2 linked regions of the Neodiprion lecontei genome follow. The protein of the gene in region 1 interacts with the protein of each later gene in a pairwise test. Links are inferred from orthologs where the notes say so. Each region holds a gene or a part of one and is shown on either strand. Other genes may lie near its edges. The genes, in order: GRB2-associated-binding protein 2 and tyrosine-protein phosphatase corkscrew.

Evidence for each region.
Region 2: the proteins of GRB2-associated-binding protein 2 (region 1) and tyrosine-protein phosphatase corkscrew interact in binary tests that used the Homo sapiens proteins (3 or more experiments, as listed by UniProt). The link is inferred for Neodiprion lecontei from reciprocal best matches to the Homo sapiens genes GAB2 and PTPN11.

The regions. Positions count from the first base shown.
Region 1 is NC_060265.1:9,032,928-9,037,826, forward strand, and holds the start of GRB2-associated-binding protein 2, read left to right. Parts: upstream 1-1,740; 5' UTR 1,741-1,979; coding exon 1,980-2,060; intron 2,061-3,358; coding exon 3,359-3,487; intron 3,488-3,610; coding exon 3,611-3,797; intron 3,798-4,024; coding exon 4,025-4,309; intron 4,310-4,861; coding exon 4,862-4,899. Other genes in the region: uncharacterized protein LOC124294987, read right to left, coding at 184-870. UniProt on the Homo sapiens protein: Adapter protein which acts downstream of several membrane receptors including cytokine, antigen, hormone, cell matrix and growth factor receptors to regulate multiple signaling pathways.
Region 2 is NC_060263.1:35,935,119-35,943,189, reverse strand, and holds tyrosine-protein phosphatase corkscrew, read left to right. Parts: upstream 1-2,055; 5' UTR 2,056-2,219; coding exon 2,220-2,263; exon of another isoform or gene 2,264-2,278; intron 2,279-2,327; exon of another isoform or gene 2,328-2,400; intron 2,401-3,298; coding exon 3,299-3,421; intron 3,422-3,708; exon of another isoform or gene 3,709-3,714; coding exon of another isoform or gene 3,715-3,725; coding exon 3,726-3,920; intron 3,921-3,998; coding exon 3,999-4,161; intron 4,162-4,389; coding exon 4,390-4,502; intron 4,503-4,606; coding exon 4,607-4,872; intron 4,873-5,353; coding exon 5,354-5,433; intron 5,434-5,572; coding exon 5,573-5,755; intron 5,756-5,835; coding exon 5,836-6,009; intron 6,010-6,217; coding exon 6,218-6,434; intron 6,435-6,612; coding exon 6,613-6,764; intron 6,765-6,848; coding exon 6,849-7,022; 3' UTR 7,023-7,381; downstream 7,382-8,071. Other genes in the region: serine protease easter, read right to left, coding at 7,795-8,071. UniProt on the Homo sapiens protein: Acts downstream of various receptor and cytoplasmic protein tyrosine kinases to participate in the signal transduction from the cell surface to the nucleus. Positively regulates MAPK signal transduction pathway. Dephosphorylates GAB1, ARHGAP35 and EGFR.

The sequences.
Region 1 (4,899 bases):
CTGACTCATCTTTGATGTGTAAGAGAAGACTCAGATCGTTTTCAGAATCTGTTTTAGGTAATTAACGGTATACATTCGCAAACCTTCTCTACCAATTTTTATAGTTTCGGGTAGATATACTTTGACAACTTTTGATATTTGTGTTAAACACACAGTCATCATGCCATCGGTATCATCTATTTCCTAGTCTAATCCAATTGGTCGAGGAACTGCTTTCCTCTTTCTTTTGGCCATTGCAACTTCTTCGCTGTTTTGGTGTTCTTCTACGATTTGACTTGTTTCTCCGTGTTCATCATCAGCTTTGAGCTCATCTTTTAGAATAGATTGCTCTTGTGCTTTAGTATCATCATCTGAACTTACACTCATATCTGATACTGCACTAAAATCAGTAGTTAACTCTTCTATCCTAGGATCTGACTTTGCCATAATGATGGCTTCGAACAAATCTTTTAAATCATCAAAGACTTGTTTGGCTCCATCCGTTGATATGCCTTCTGCCCATCCGATTATCGTAGACTTTGACACTCGTTTTGCATGAAAATCTTTGTGAGTCATAATCATCTTAAGCTTGTCTTCATAGTTAGTAGCAGCTTGTCTAAGTGATATACAACATTCACATGTATATTCACGCATAGTGTCAGACATTGTGATCCACATAGCTAAGATTAAGGATATCCATATTTGCAAATCCATCATGAATCTTTTGGTGTCGTATTCACCAGATTCATCATCCCTGTAGTGTATTGGATGTGGACATGCTGCATGGAACAGAGTTCTCACTGCTTGAATGCTCATGCGATATCTTATCTCTTGCTGGTTTATTGCTCTTCTTCTCTTTGATCTAGTAAGGATTTTAGTTTCAGTCTGCATTCTGTATCTATATATTCGGTCATCGAAAATTTCTTATATGATCCATTATATTTTGGTGCATATCTGGGTAACTAAACCCCCGAAGAAAGGGGCGTGTCGTAGGAGTTCTAGGCACACCATGGGTGTATTCCGAAATATACTCGCAGTACTGCAAGTACTGGCAACTGAACGCTGTTGATCACGTGATCGAAGCACTGAGAGCACCTTACCTTGAAAGCACCAGTGTTCACAGTAGAAAAATGGCGACGATTTATGACGTCATATATTTCCCTAGGATACTGCGACTGCATACAGTCAGTCTATATCGGAACGAATTTCTCCCCAGTAAGAGCACTGAACAGTGCTCGCAGTGTATATTGGAACATACCCTTCGTGTTTTCAGTGTGTTGGCAAGTATTGAGCAAAGATCCAATCCTCTTTGGTCTGGTTTTTCATGGGCAACAAAATGCTGCCGCAGTGTTTTACTGCCTAGTTCGTGGCCAATAGGAATGTCAAGAAAATAGATATTTCACATTCAGCGCATACTAAGTGGCGCTAGTATCAACACATCGACTCATTGCTCATCGAGTTTTAATCATCTTCAAAAGGTAAGATAATTTTCATTAATTAATACAAGGATAATCCTATTCCCGGTTTGTTCGAAAAGCGGGATTGAGCATCCACTGTCTAGTGCATTCCAATGCTAGTTGGTATTTGGTCACCCAGAACTACTGATTGTGTCTAGCTGTGCCATCACGATTAGATCCAGTGTCTAGCTTCTGGAATCGTTGGGGACAGCAGTTGCGACGTCACACTCATGATTAAAAATCACCCTATGACTTCAATAGCAGATGTTTCAGTCCTCTTCATGCCATTGCTTTATACGTTCTTTATACTATGTCTTTTAGACGTTCGTGGATCAAACTTCCTGTAGTGACGAACGAAGTGAGATAACCTTATCTTACAAACTAACTTTGGTTGTGTGTCGAGATTACGATGCTCGTTGGTGAGCTACTTGCCTGTGTATCGACCAAAAATAGATAAATGGACCGAATACGTGCGTGTTAGTCGCTCGGTCTTCTCAATGATGTGTCATTAATCGTTACGACTCGTTAAGAAGTGTGTAGGGCATGGATACGCTCAAAACAAGCCAAGAAATCGTCCACGAAGGCTGGCTTATAAAATCGCCACCCTCAAAATTGTGGAAAGCGGTAAGGTTTCCTCTAAAATCTAATCGAAGATGACTCTTTCCATTGTTTACGTTAACCAGGGCTTCTATCATCCGACAATTAATCATTCCCATTTAACGCTCGGATAACCCCTGTTTTAATTGAATGGGATTCATACATCGTCAAGCCCCACTCTTGATCGGGACACTTCGAACCGTTTTAAATGGGTTAACATTTTTCCTAACAATATAACCGTCAGTCTAACCTAGGAAGTGAAAGATATCCTTTCCACCTCATACCTGGATACTCGTGAGACCCCAAAAGAATTTGTAGTCTTGTCTTTCCCAATTCAATTCTGAATCAATCTTTTTATTCGCTTGGGTTTTTCCTAATAATCATTGATTGTTTGCTCAACTGTGGAAATTGGCTCAACGCCACCACGGACAGCTAGTCAGGTATCTGTGTGTTGCACATACTTCAGATCTCGGTTTATCCTACTTAAATTTATGACGTATTCCTAATAATCATTGTTTGTTGTCAATTTACTTTAATCTTAGTCGTCTTTGTCATATTTGCTGAGCTACTGTTTCCAGTATTTTTACAGGCAACTATTCCAAATGTAAACTTATTTAGAGCATCTAATCAAAGCCTCAAAGTGATTATACATAATTATCAGTATTCTTTGACATCTCAGTTAGCATACTTAATTTTATTCTTATTTATGTGTAATCTTATTTATGTGTATGTGGTATAGAATCACTTGTCATAATATGTAGATAGCATTGTTGATGAATAATTTGTGTAATTTGGTAGAAGCACATAAAAATAATGTTACTTTAGGCAAATCTAATAATATTTGACTGTTTCCATTCATTCGTATGTAATCTTCCTTACATCTTTTTTGAATTATGATATTTTTCCCTCATAATGAATACATTTCAACTCTTACTTTTCTGATTTATTCACTAGGGTTCAATATCTTAGTTTTCATTGACACACAGCTCTGTGAATTATGCTGCAACGAAAACGAATCTCCTTGAAACTGATTCTAACGTAACTAACTAGTCAGCATCTGTTGCAACCAGAAAAAACCTGTTTCATCAGTACTGTCCAATTATTTGAATTCCAACAGAAAGTAATGTTCCACGAAAGTTATCAATGATAGATCTAGATATTGGACTGTTTTAAATCAATTTGGTGTTATTATGCTACATATGCACCTCATTTTGTCAAGTAGTTATTGTTGTCTGCCACACCCAATTTGTTTTTCGTAACAACATTGAAGCAGAACATTCAACAAATTCTTACCGTGTATCGTACCTCGAAACTGATTGCTCTAGAGATGGCGAAAGCGTTGGTTTGCGCTCCGTCACAGCGGAGAATTGCCTGGACAATATTTCTTGGAATATTACACAGACAGACGTTGCAGAAAGCTCAAGGGCCGCATAGATTTGGATCAATGCGAGCAGGTAATTATTTTTATTTCCAAAAATTCTAAAAACGTCATTAAAGTTAGTTTTTGCCAAAAATTACAAGTTATTTGCCATTTAAGAATGAGAATAATCGTTGATTAATCAACTACAAATGTGCAGGTGGATGCTGGCTTGAGATTTGAAAATCGAAAGCAGAAATATCAGTTCATGTTCGACGTGAAGACTCCGAAAAGAACTTACTACCTGGTGGCAGAGAGCGAAGCTGACATGAACAAGTGGGTTGATGCAGTTTGCCAGGTTTGCGGTTTGAAAGCTTACACACAGGATGATGAGCCGCACTGTCAAAGTAAGTCTGAAAATAAGTATCTATATCTAAAACTACTTGTTAAATTAACAATTCTGTTACAAATTGTCTGTTTATTAAATATTAATTGAATTTGAAAATGCAGATCTTTGTTTACGAAAGACATTTTTTGGTTCTTTGGTATTTTTGCTGTGTAGACGAATATACTTTTAACACATTCCAGTGACGCAAAGTAAAGTTGTCTATGTTTCAATTTTTCTCTTCAACAGTATTTCCATTCGAGCCTCAAGAGTCGCCTCCGATCTCACCAACCAGTACTATATCTGGACCCTACATTCCAATCAGTGAATGCATTTCTGGCCGCTCCTTGAACGACACAAGCTCTCTTAGTTCTGCCCTGGGACAGAATACAGAACAATATTATGATGCCCCAAGAAAGTTGGCTCCCTCTCCACCCAGATCTCCGACTACAACTGATGCAGAAAGTGTATTTACTGACGATGAATGGACTTCTCCAGTTCCTAGTGTTAATTGGGAGACATTTCCTTCGTCTCGTAAGTAAAAAATTGTAATTAAAGCCGCAGTTGACCTTAATTGATCAGCTTTAACTCACGGATATTGCTTTCAAAATTTAAGTGTATTTGCAATGATTTGTGAGGAAAGAAGATGCTGTCTCCTTTGAATTAGATTTTGTTTTTAGAAAATCAATCCATGTGTTGATTCCTTCGTAAAGGCTCATTTAATTGATTTGAGCTTTTTAGTAATATGTTACATAATATTGACATCGACTCAACTATGATTGTACAAATTAAATTTATTATCTGATGTTCCTAGAATTTCAACTATGAGAAACTCATTCTTCCGAATGTTTTTGGTTGGAAATTTACTTTATTTATTATTTGCATTCATATTAACTTTTACTGTCATTTTTTGAAATTTCTATTTGGACCACTTTCTTTTTACACCGTTTTTGATCCACCATTTGCCTATTAGAAATTGTCGTCACTTTCTTTTGATAAATTTTTTTTCGCATTCTGATCCATTATGTAAGAATCCCTTAAGGTTGAGGAAAAATTTTTTTACCTCGAACCGAAAATTTTTTTAAGCAGGTGAAGCTAGACCAAGCAACGTATCAGGAGATGCA
Region 2 (8,071 bases), on another chromosome or scaffold:
ATCCTTGACCTCCAGCAGCTCTACAAAGATAAACAGAATTGTTACATAGGACAAACAGCTGCGCGAAACATGTTATTTTTTTTCGGATTTTCACCAATAATAATTGTCGAAGCGTTCATCGCAGTGTCATTGGATTATGGGCAATCGTTTTTTCTTAAAAAAATATATTCCATATGGCTGATGTAAAACTCACTTCAGATTCAACCGTTTTTCATTATGAAGTCAAAATTCATTGCAGAAATATGCGATAAAAACATAAATACAGCTTCTAATGCTTATCTAAGAATTTGGTACTACAAAACCTTATCTCAGATTTTGGTTCAACAAAACCCTATCTCAGAATTGCGTTGAATAACATTGTATGTCCAAAGTGATCTTTCAGGATATACGACGTTTTTGTACGAAATTCTAAGATGAGGTTTTGTTGAACAAAAATCTGAAATAGTATATTGGTGCTCTCAGCCGACGATATAAAGCAAAAGTTAAAATATAAACTCATTCAGAATCAATTCCGTATCGCACTTAACGATACACACCAGAGTGTAGACATGATTGCAATACTTGGGAACAGAAATGATAGTAATATTAATAGTATCGAACAAAAAATTCAAAGGTTTTATTACTACTTCTGTGGTAAGAAACCAATTTGGTTTTGCTGTATTATCACGCTGTAGCTATAGCAGTGCTACAGCGATACTGGCAATGCACAAATATTCTAGGATCGTCGATGATATGTGTATAAATAATTATCTTAATGTAACATTTTTCTTCTTTTTTACATGCGCATATGTGGCTACAGATATGCATCATGTAATTCTTCCACCATGATTAGTATACATACCTATAAGTAGGTATAGGTATAATAAGAGGGTACTCGTAAATCATTTCTGTAAGGTGAAAAGCTTTCTTTTCTACCCGTTCAATCATACATAAAATTTTCCTACACGTGATCGAACTACACCTAATTCGAATCACAATGGTTTTGGATAGCGAAGGAATTATACGACAATTCGTAGCATCTGTAGTAATGGTTTAAAAAATAGCGAACTTATTCTAACAACGTAAGAAAAAAATACGAAGTACGCCTAGGTAAACTCAGTATGGAACTGACAATGAGTCGAGTTGACAGTAGTATTACCGCCGAACCCACCTGGCCAGAGAAAATATTCGCCAAGGTTTGAACGTCTTTACATATCTTCAGTCAACGGTATATACGGCGCGATACTTGTGATTTGAGTTACTATGTGCAGCTATGTGTGGTTCGGTCACGTAAAATGTTTCGTAGGATTTAACGTGTAGGAATGACGTATCCCGGCCTTTCAGAGAATAAATAATCCTGGAATAGAAATACGGTTTCACAAAGTAAGCTTTTGACAACGACATCTCAATATGCTTTCCATGTTATGAGAAGAAGTCGTGATGTCATGATTGCGTCACTTCAACTTCATAATTCATATCAGCAGTTGTAACTTCCTTACTCCATTTATGTCCTACATTCACTTCATGTAATCATATATCATACAATTCAAACTGCTGTACCTACTGGGCTACCAACGCCTACTGTTGAACAGCCGAACGCTTACTCTTATTCGGCAAGGCGCTAATGTCAACGGTCGGCAACCAGGAATAGTTTTTCAAATATATTTAAAACGGAACTACCTAACAGTACTTTCAGTTTCATGAGGTATTCGAATATGCCATTCCGCTCTTTGTAAATTATCTAATATGAGAAAGAATGTCAATTGCACGTTTCTATTTGCTAGTAAATCGAAGAAATTGTTATAAAATAAATTTCCGTCGGTTAAGAAGGAGTACAGCATCGTGTATTTCTTCATGCAGCTTCTATCCGTTGAATTTTAATTTCTGCATAAAAATCAATGCATACACTTATTTTTTACCAAACTCCTCGTTTTTTGTATTGTGGTGAAGGGAATTCAACTTATGATATTTCCTCGTATTAGTGAGTAGCGATCGTCGTCTAACAGCGGTACGAGCATGCAACTGACGAGAAATTTTAAATCGGTAATTCGAATGACCCTTCTATAGGCTGCATAGTAATATCCCTTTGGCTCTCAGTGTCCAGTGTGGCCGTTTTTTTGTTTTCGTTGACACTTGAAAATGTCAGGTTGGTGTCAGTTTTCGAAAAGAGTTTCACTCGCAGTTTACTGACGTTGCAAGTTACGATTTTCATTGTTAAAACTGAAACAATGAAGCAGTAAATGTTGACTGGTTACAATCGTAGTTGCGACATGGCATCCCGCAGGTGAGGCACGTTATGGTAATTGCATAGAAAGGGGAAAAAATACGCCACTCGTACTCGATGCTTTCAGTTGTGTGTCATTTTAAATATCCACTGGCTATAATTGTACCTGAATTAATCAACCTAAATTAAGATTTTCGGTTCGCGAAACATCTTTATTCTAATTTCATCAAATTACACCATTAACTATCGCATTTCGCAAGACTATATACGAATGATTAACCTAACTAACAATACGCATACTAACTTTGAGGCTAATGCATTGATGACGCGTAGCTAAATTATTTGTCAATAATTTCTCAATGCCTCGTTTACTCATGGTTAATTATGGTCGAGTAGGTGCTCAACGATGCCTATTTTGCAACCACATTCTGTCTTTGAGTCATTTCAATCACATTGAGATTAGTATTCATAACCTGAGATGGTAGGATACAAATTTTAATGTAAATATTACACTCGGACGTATACGGTACTTTTTCTATACCTGACTGTACATTGTAAACGCATCTCATTATTTACAAACAAACTGGCAAATACAAGCAAGTTTCTTTTTCAATTAATCACACATTGTTCTACATTTTATTAATTTGCTAATATAATAATTGTAATACAGTTTATTGTTTGCAGTCAATAACTACGTCAGAGAATAAGTTATTCAAAATTAGATAAATACGCCGTAGAGTAACTTGTAGGCTCTATCATTGCAACTTCGTATAGTATTAGCATCCATTGGCCTTGAGTAATACCTTTTTTGTGCTGTGGAAGGAATCTGGTTTTAATGAATATAGATTATTTTTCCATTGCACCATCGATGACAGAGTGATGCAAGGCATGCAGTGATGCATCCACGCCTTAATTTGGCTCGAGGTTAATCGAGTAATATATATTCTGATAAGATACAGACGCTGTGTTTCTAACAAGCAGCTCTGACGGCCTTTCTCATCCTTTGTGAACTAAAATATTGATGTAATAAGAGTATTATTATATTACTCAAGCAAAGTACAGTCGTCGAAAGTTATATATCACTGCATTCGACAGATGGTTTCATCCCAATATATCAGGTTTGGAAGCGGAAAAATTGTTGATGGGACGTGGATATGACTGCTCTTTCTTAGCAAGGCCCAGTTCATCTAATCCTGCAAACTTCACACTGTCAGTGAGGTGAGTAAAAATATTCTTCTTGTTATGAGACTGCTTTGACAATTTTTAAATGTGTATTTAAGTTTATAATCAGTAGCAGCATTTAACTTATTTGCTTGATATTTTATGTGCTTAGAAATTATTGTATGATATTATGTGTATGATGTGCAGTTATTTATAATTTCGAGTAATAATCAAATAACCAGACTAATATATTGAAATTGCTTTTACATCTACATGTCACATAAGTGTAGTAGTGTTAATAGCGTTCAAGCACTTTTCACTATTGGTGTTGATTGCCTTAAAAGAGCGGCATGATTTTTAGACGAAATGGGGAAGTGACCCATATCAAAATTCAGAATACAGGAGATTTTTACGATCTTTATGGTGGAGAAAAGTTTGCAACATTGTCCGAGCTTGTCCAGTACTATATGGAAAATGGTGGACAATTACGCGAGAAAAATGGAGAAGTGATTGAACTGCGATATCCTCTAAACTGCGCAGATCCAACTACTGAGAGGTATGTGTTATCCTTTTTACACATCTGTCAAACTTTTGATTTGACCTAGACTCAAGTTATTGATTGAACTTTCCATAGGTGGTTTCACGGACACCTGTCGGGAAAAGAAGCAGAACGATTGATGGTAGAACGTGGAAAAAACGGTTCATTTCTTGTGCGAGAATCTCAAAGCAAGCCGGGTGATTTTGTTTTGTCCGTGCGCACCGACGATCGCGTAACTCACGTCATGATACGTTCACAGGTCATTATTGTTATATTCGTCTAACTCCTATGTCAGGGAACTGCAAATCTATAATATTTCCGATTCGTCACTGAGAGTTAACGAGCAAACTTAGTCTTCTTGGTCAATTGCTTTGTCTTAGTAGAGTTTACTTGCTGGTAGTTCCCAGCCCTATTCCATTTTTCAGTCGATTTGAGATATACTTACATACCTAAACTAGAGAAAAAAAACAACTAATCAATGTTGCAGGACAATGGATTTGACGTAGGCGGCGGTGATAAATTTGACAGTTTAAGCGATCTTATAGAACATTATAAACGCAATCCAATGGTAGAAACAAGTGGAACTGTTGTTCACCTGCGGTAAGTGACTAGCGTTTCTTATTTTTTAGGATAAAACTATCGTTCTTATCTACATATACTAAGTGTAACTCTACTGATAATTCTATGCGACTTTCTTCTTTCAGGCAACCATTCAATGCAACTCGTATTAATGCAAGCGGAATTGAGAGCAGAGTACGACAGTTGCATAAAGAGAACGGGTGGTACAATGCTTCTGGGGGTTGCACTAACGGAACAGGAAATGGCGCGGGGGGTTCTGTCAAAGGAAAAGCTGGCTTTTGGGAAGAATTTGAGTCGTTGCAGCAACTTGAATGTGGTCATTTATTCTCTCGAAAGGAAGGTCAACGTCCGGAGAACCGAGCAAAAAATCGCTACAAGAATATATTACCTTGTAAGACTATTATCTATTATAGTACAAGACCCTACAACCAAAATTTTGGTCTCATACACTTGGGTTAGATTTGTTGACAGTCTTGAAAATGCAGCCAGGTCAGACAATATGAGCAGAATGTCTAAAAACCGAAATTTTAGTAACGAAATAACAAAATCTGTGTGCATTTTCAAGATTAGATAAGATGTGATAATATCCTCTATGTTTATTTAAAATTTTTTTGATAGTAGAAATAGTCCCCCATGAAGCTGCTAGGCCTTCTGAGCGTTACTACCCGCCTAGTCAGATCTAGGGTCATCTAGTCTACCGAGATCTGTGGATTTAGTCGTGGGCCCTCGTACTATAATAATTTAATTCAATGTATATATGACAATTATTAGATTAAAACTTTGAAACTGAAAATGTCTATGAAGATGGTGACCAAGTCACATAGTCTAAATTTCAAATATTACTAACATATTTTTACTTATAACTCTTTCAGTTGATCACACAAGAGTACGCTTAAAAGATGTGGATCCTAATACTCCAGGGGCTGACTACATCAATGCCAACTATATACGAGTATGTCGTTATATGTCATTGGTTTTTCCATTTCAATTTCATATTAATCAAAAATTCACTTACTGAAAAATCTAACCATAACTTGTAATTAAAATGTTTACTCTTTCACGTTTTATATAAAATTTGAAATGTAACGTAGACTGAAGAAGGTGATAATGCTGCATCCACTGGTGCTGGAGTGGGTGATGCTGGATCATCAACCAAATGTTATATAGCTACTCAAGGGTGCCTTCCTAATACTATTCAAGATTTCTGGCACATGGTATACCAAGAAAATACTCGTGTTATTGTGATGACAACAAAGGAGATGGAGAGGGGAAAGGTATTCAGAAATCAAATTCCAGAGCATAAGAAAATACGAATCCAAGTTTCTTGATTCTTATATAATCGTTTATATTTCAGAATAAGTGTGCTCGCTATTGGCCAGAGGAAGGTGAGCAAGCTGAATATGGAGAATGGAGAGTGCGCACTTTTGGTCATATATCAACAGCGGATTATACTCTTCGCGAGTTTCTCCTAAGTGGAGTCAAACCGCAGCATTCTGAACCCAGAAAAATTTACCATTACCACTTTCAAGTACATATTGATTTTCTTTTTATATTCATAATTTACATAATATTTGAATGCTTTAGCAACAATCTGTCTTGGTTAATGGTGACGTACGTTTGTCGATCTTTACATACGTTGTTAGATGTAACTAAAATTATCTGTGATCATGATAATAACAAGAATAATAATTAATAAACTATTATAATAATAAATAATAGACGAAAACGATTGGCAGGCGTGGCCGGATCATGGAGTCCCTTCGGACCCTGGCTGCGTCTTGAACTTTCTCCACGACGTGAATGCCAGACAAATTGCTGCGGCTGCTGTGCCTAGTAGCAATAATATTGGTGCTCCTGGAATCGGACCCATTCTTGTACACTGCAGTGCTGGTATCGGACGTACAGGCACTTTTATTGTCATCGACATGATCTTAGATCAAATCAAACGACATGGTAAATATCTTCATTATAGAGAATCCTCGGGATTATTTTACTGCAACACACTGGTCACAATTATCAAGAATATTTGCTCCTGTCTTCAAAATGAATGCCCTCCCCCCAATATCTTTGTGAATTCAGCAGTTCTTCGTATAGTAGAATATGCAGATATACATGTATTTTTTTTTTTAAGGACTGGAATGTGAAATCGACATCCAACGTACAATTCAAAAGGTGCGAAGCCAACGCTCAGGAATGGTTCAGACCGAAGCTCAGTACAAGTTTGTGTATCTAGCTGTTCTACACTACATTGAAACAGTTTCACAACGCATGTTGGCACAGCAGGTATTATTTTGATTTTTCAGTATCAATTGCATCGCCTTTACAAAAATATGTTACTTTTCTAAATGCATACTAACAACATTGCAGAAAGCATCACAGTTGGGTCGTGAGTACACAAACATCCGATATTCCGATGAAACCAATGTTGCAGTAAGTAGTGGATCAGGAGATGCCTCATCTCCTACGCCAACTCTTGTTGCTTTCCCAACCCCGACGAATATCACACTTTCCACTACAGTCGGTTCGCTTAGGCCAAAGTAACTCGGCATGTTATTGGATCAGCCGCGAATGAACACTTTACAGACTGAGAGAAGAAATTACTTACTACTTTCTTTCAAGTGATATTGATATGCTCTTTTTCTCTGGTAACACGTAATATCGAGATAATTGCTTATGATCTTGAGTGTGTGCACAAAGAGCAGACTCACTTATTCCTTTTACAATTTTCAATTGGCGAAATGAGAGAAAGGGAATGAAGGTTAACTTGCTTACAGAGACGATATACGTTGTTTATCTGTCGTAACTAATTGCCCGTACATGAAATTATGCTATGTTGGGAAAAGTCAACGTTCTCTGTCCATTTATATTTATAATATGAAATAAAGACCCTATGGCAACTATTTCTGTTATTACTAAATTCCCGTCAGCATACATACTCAATATGGATTAGGGAATGAGTAATAGCTGTATAACTGGGCTAGTAGTCGAGTCAAGAATTTTGTTTTTATTTTCGGTGAAACGTCAAATGGAAAACAATTGAGTATAAAGAAGTTCTGATAATATTGACTTTAAATACTAATAATACGGATGTCATAGGTGACACAATATCGGCAATGACACTTATATACAGTTAAAATAAATAAAATTTTGTACAAATATACAACTTATTAGCGATAACATATGCGTACAGCGTAATACGATACATCGAAGTTCTTCTCACGTGTGTGAACGTGTAAGGATATGTCATACTATATACGTAGCATCAAATTTCTGATACCACACTAATGCGTCAACGTATATTACTCATTAATGATTAGTCATATATCTCTGTTCCTATCGTATTTAAAATCCAATCCATATAATATGGAACGTTCGTGTAAACCCCGGGAGCCCCTTCTATTCCGCAATCTCTTGGTCCGAAACTAACCACCCCATAAAGAATGTTTCTTGGCTGCCTGTTGTATATCCCTAGAGCTTGAAGCGGACCGCCGCTATCTCCGGAACATGAATCGGACCGATTCGAGCCTCCGGCGCATATTTGTTTGTACGATATTCTTACGTTCCGCTCTCTGTACAATCTGGCACATACG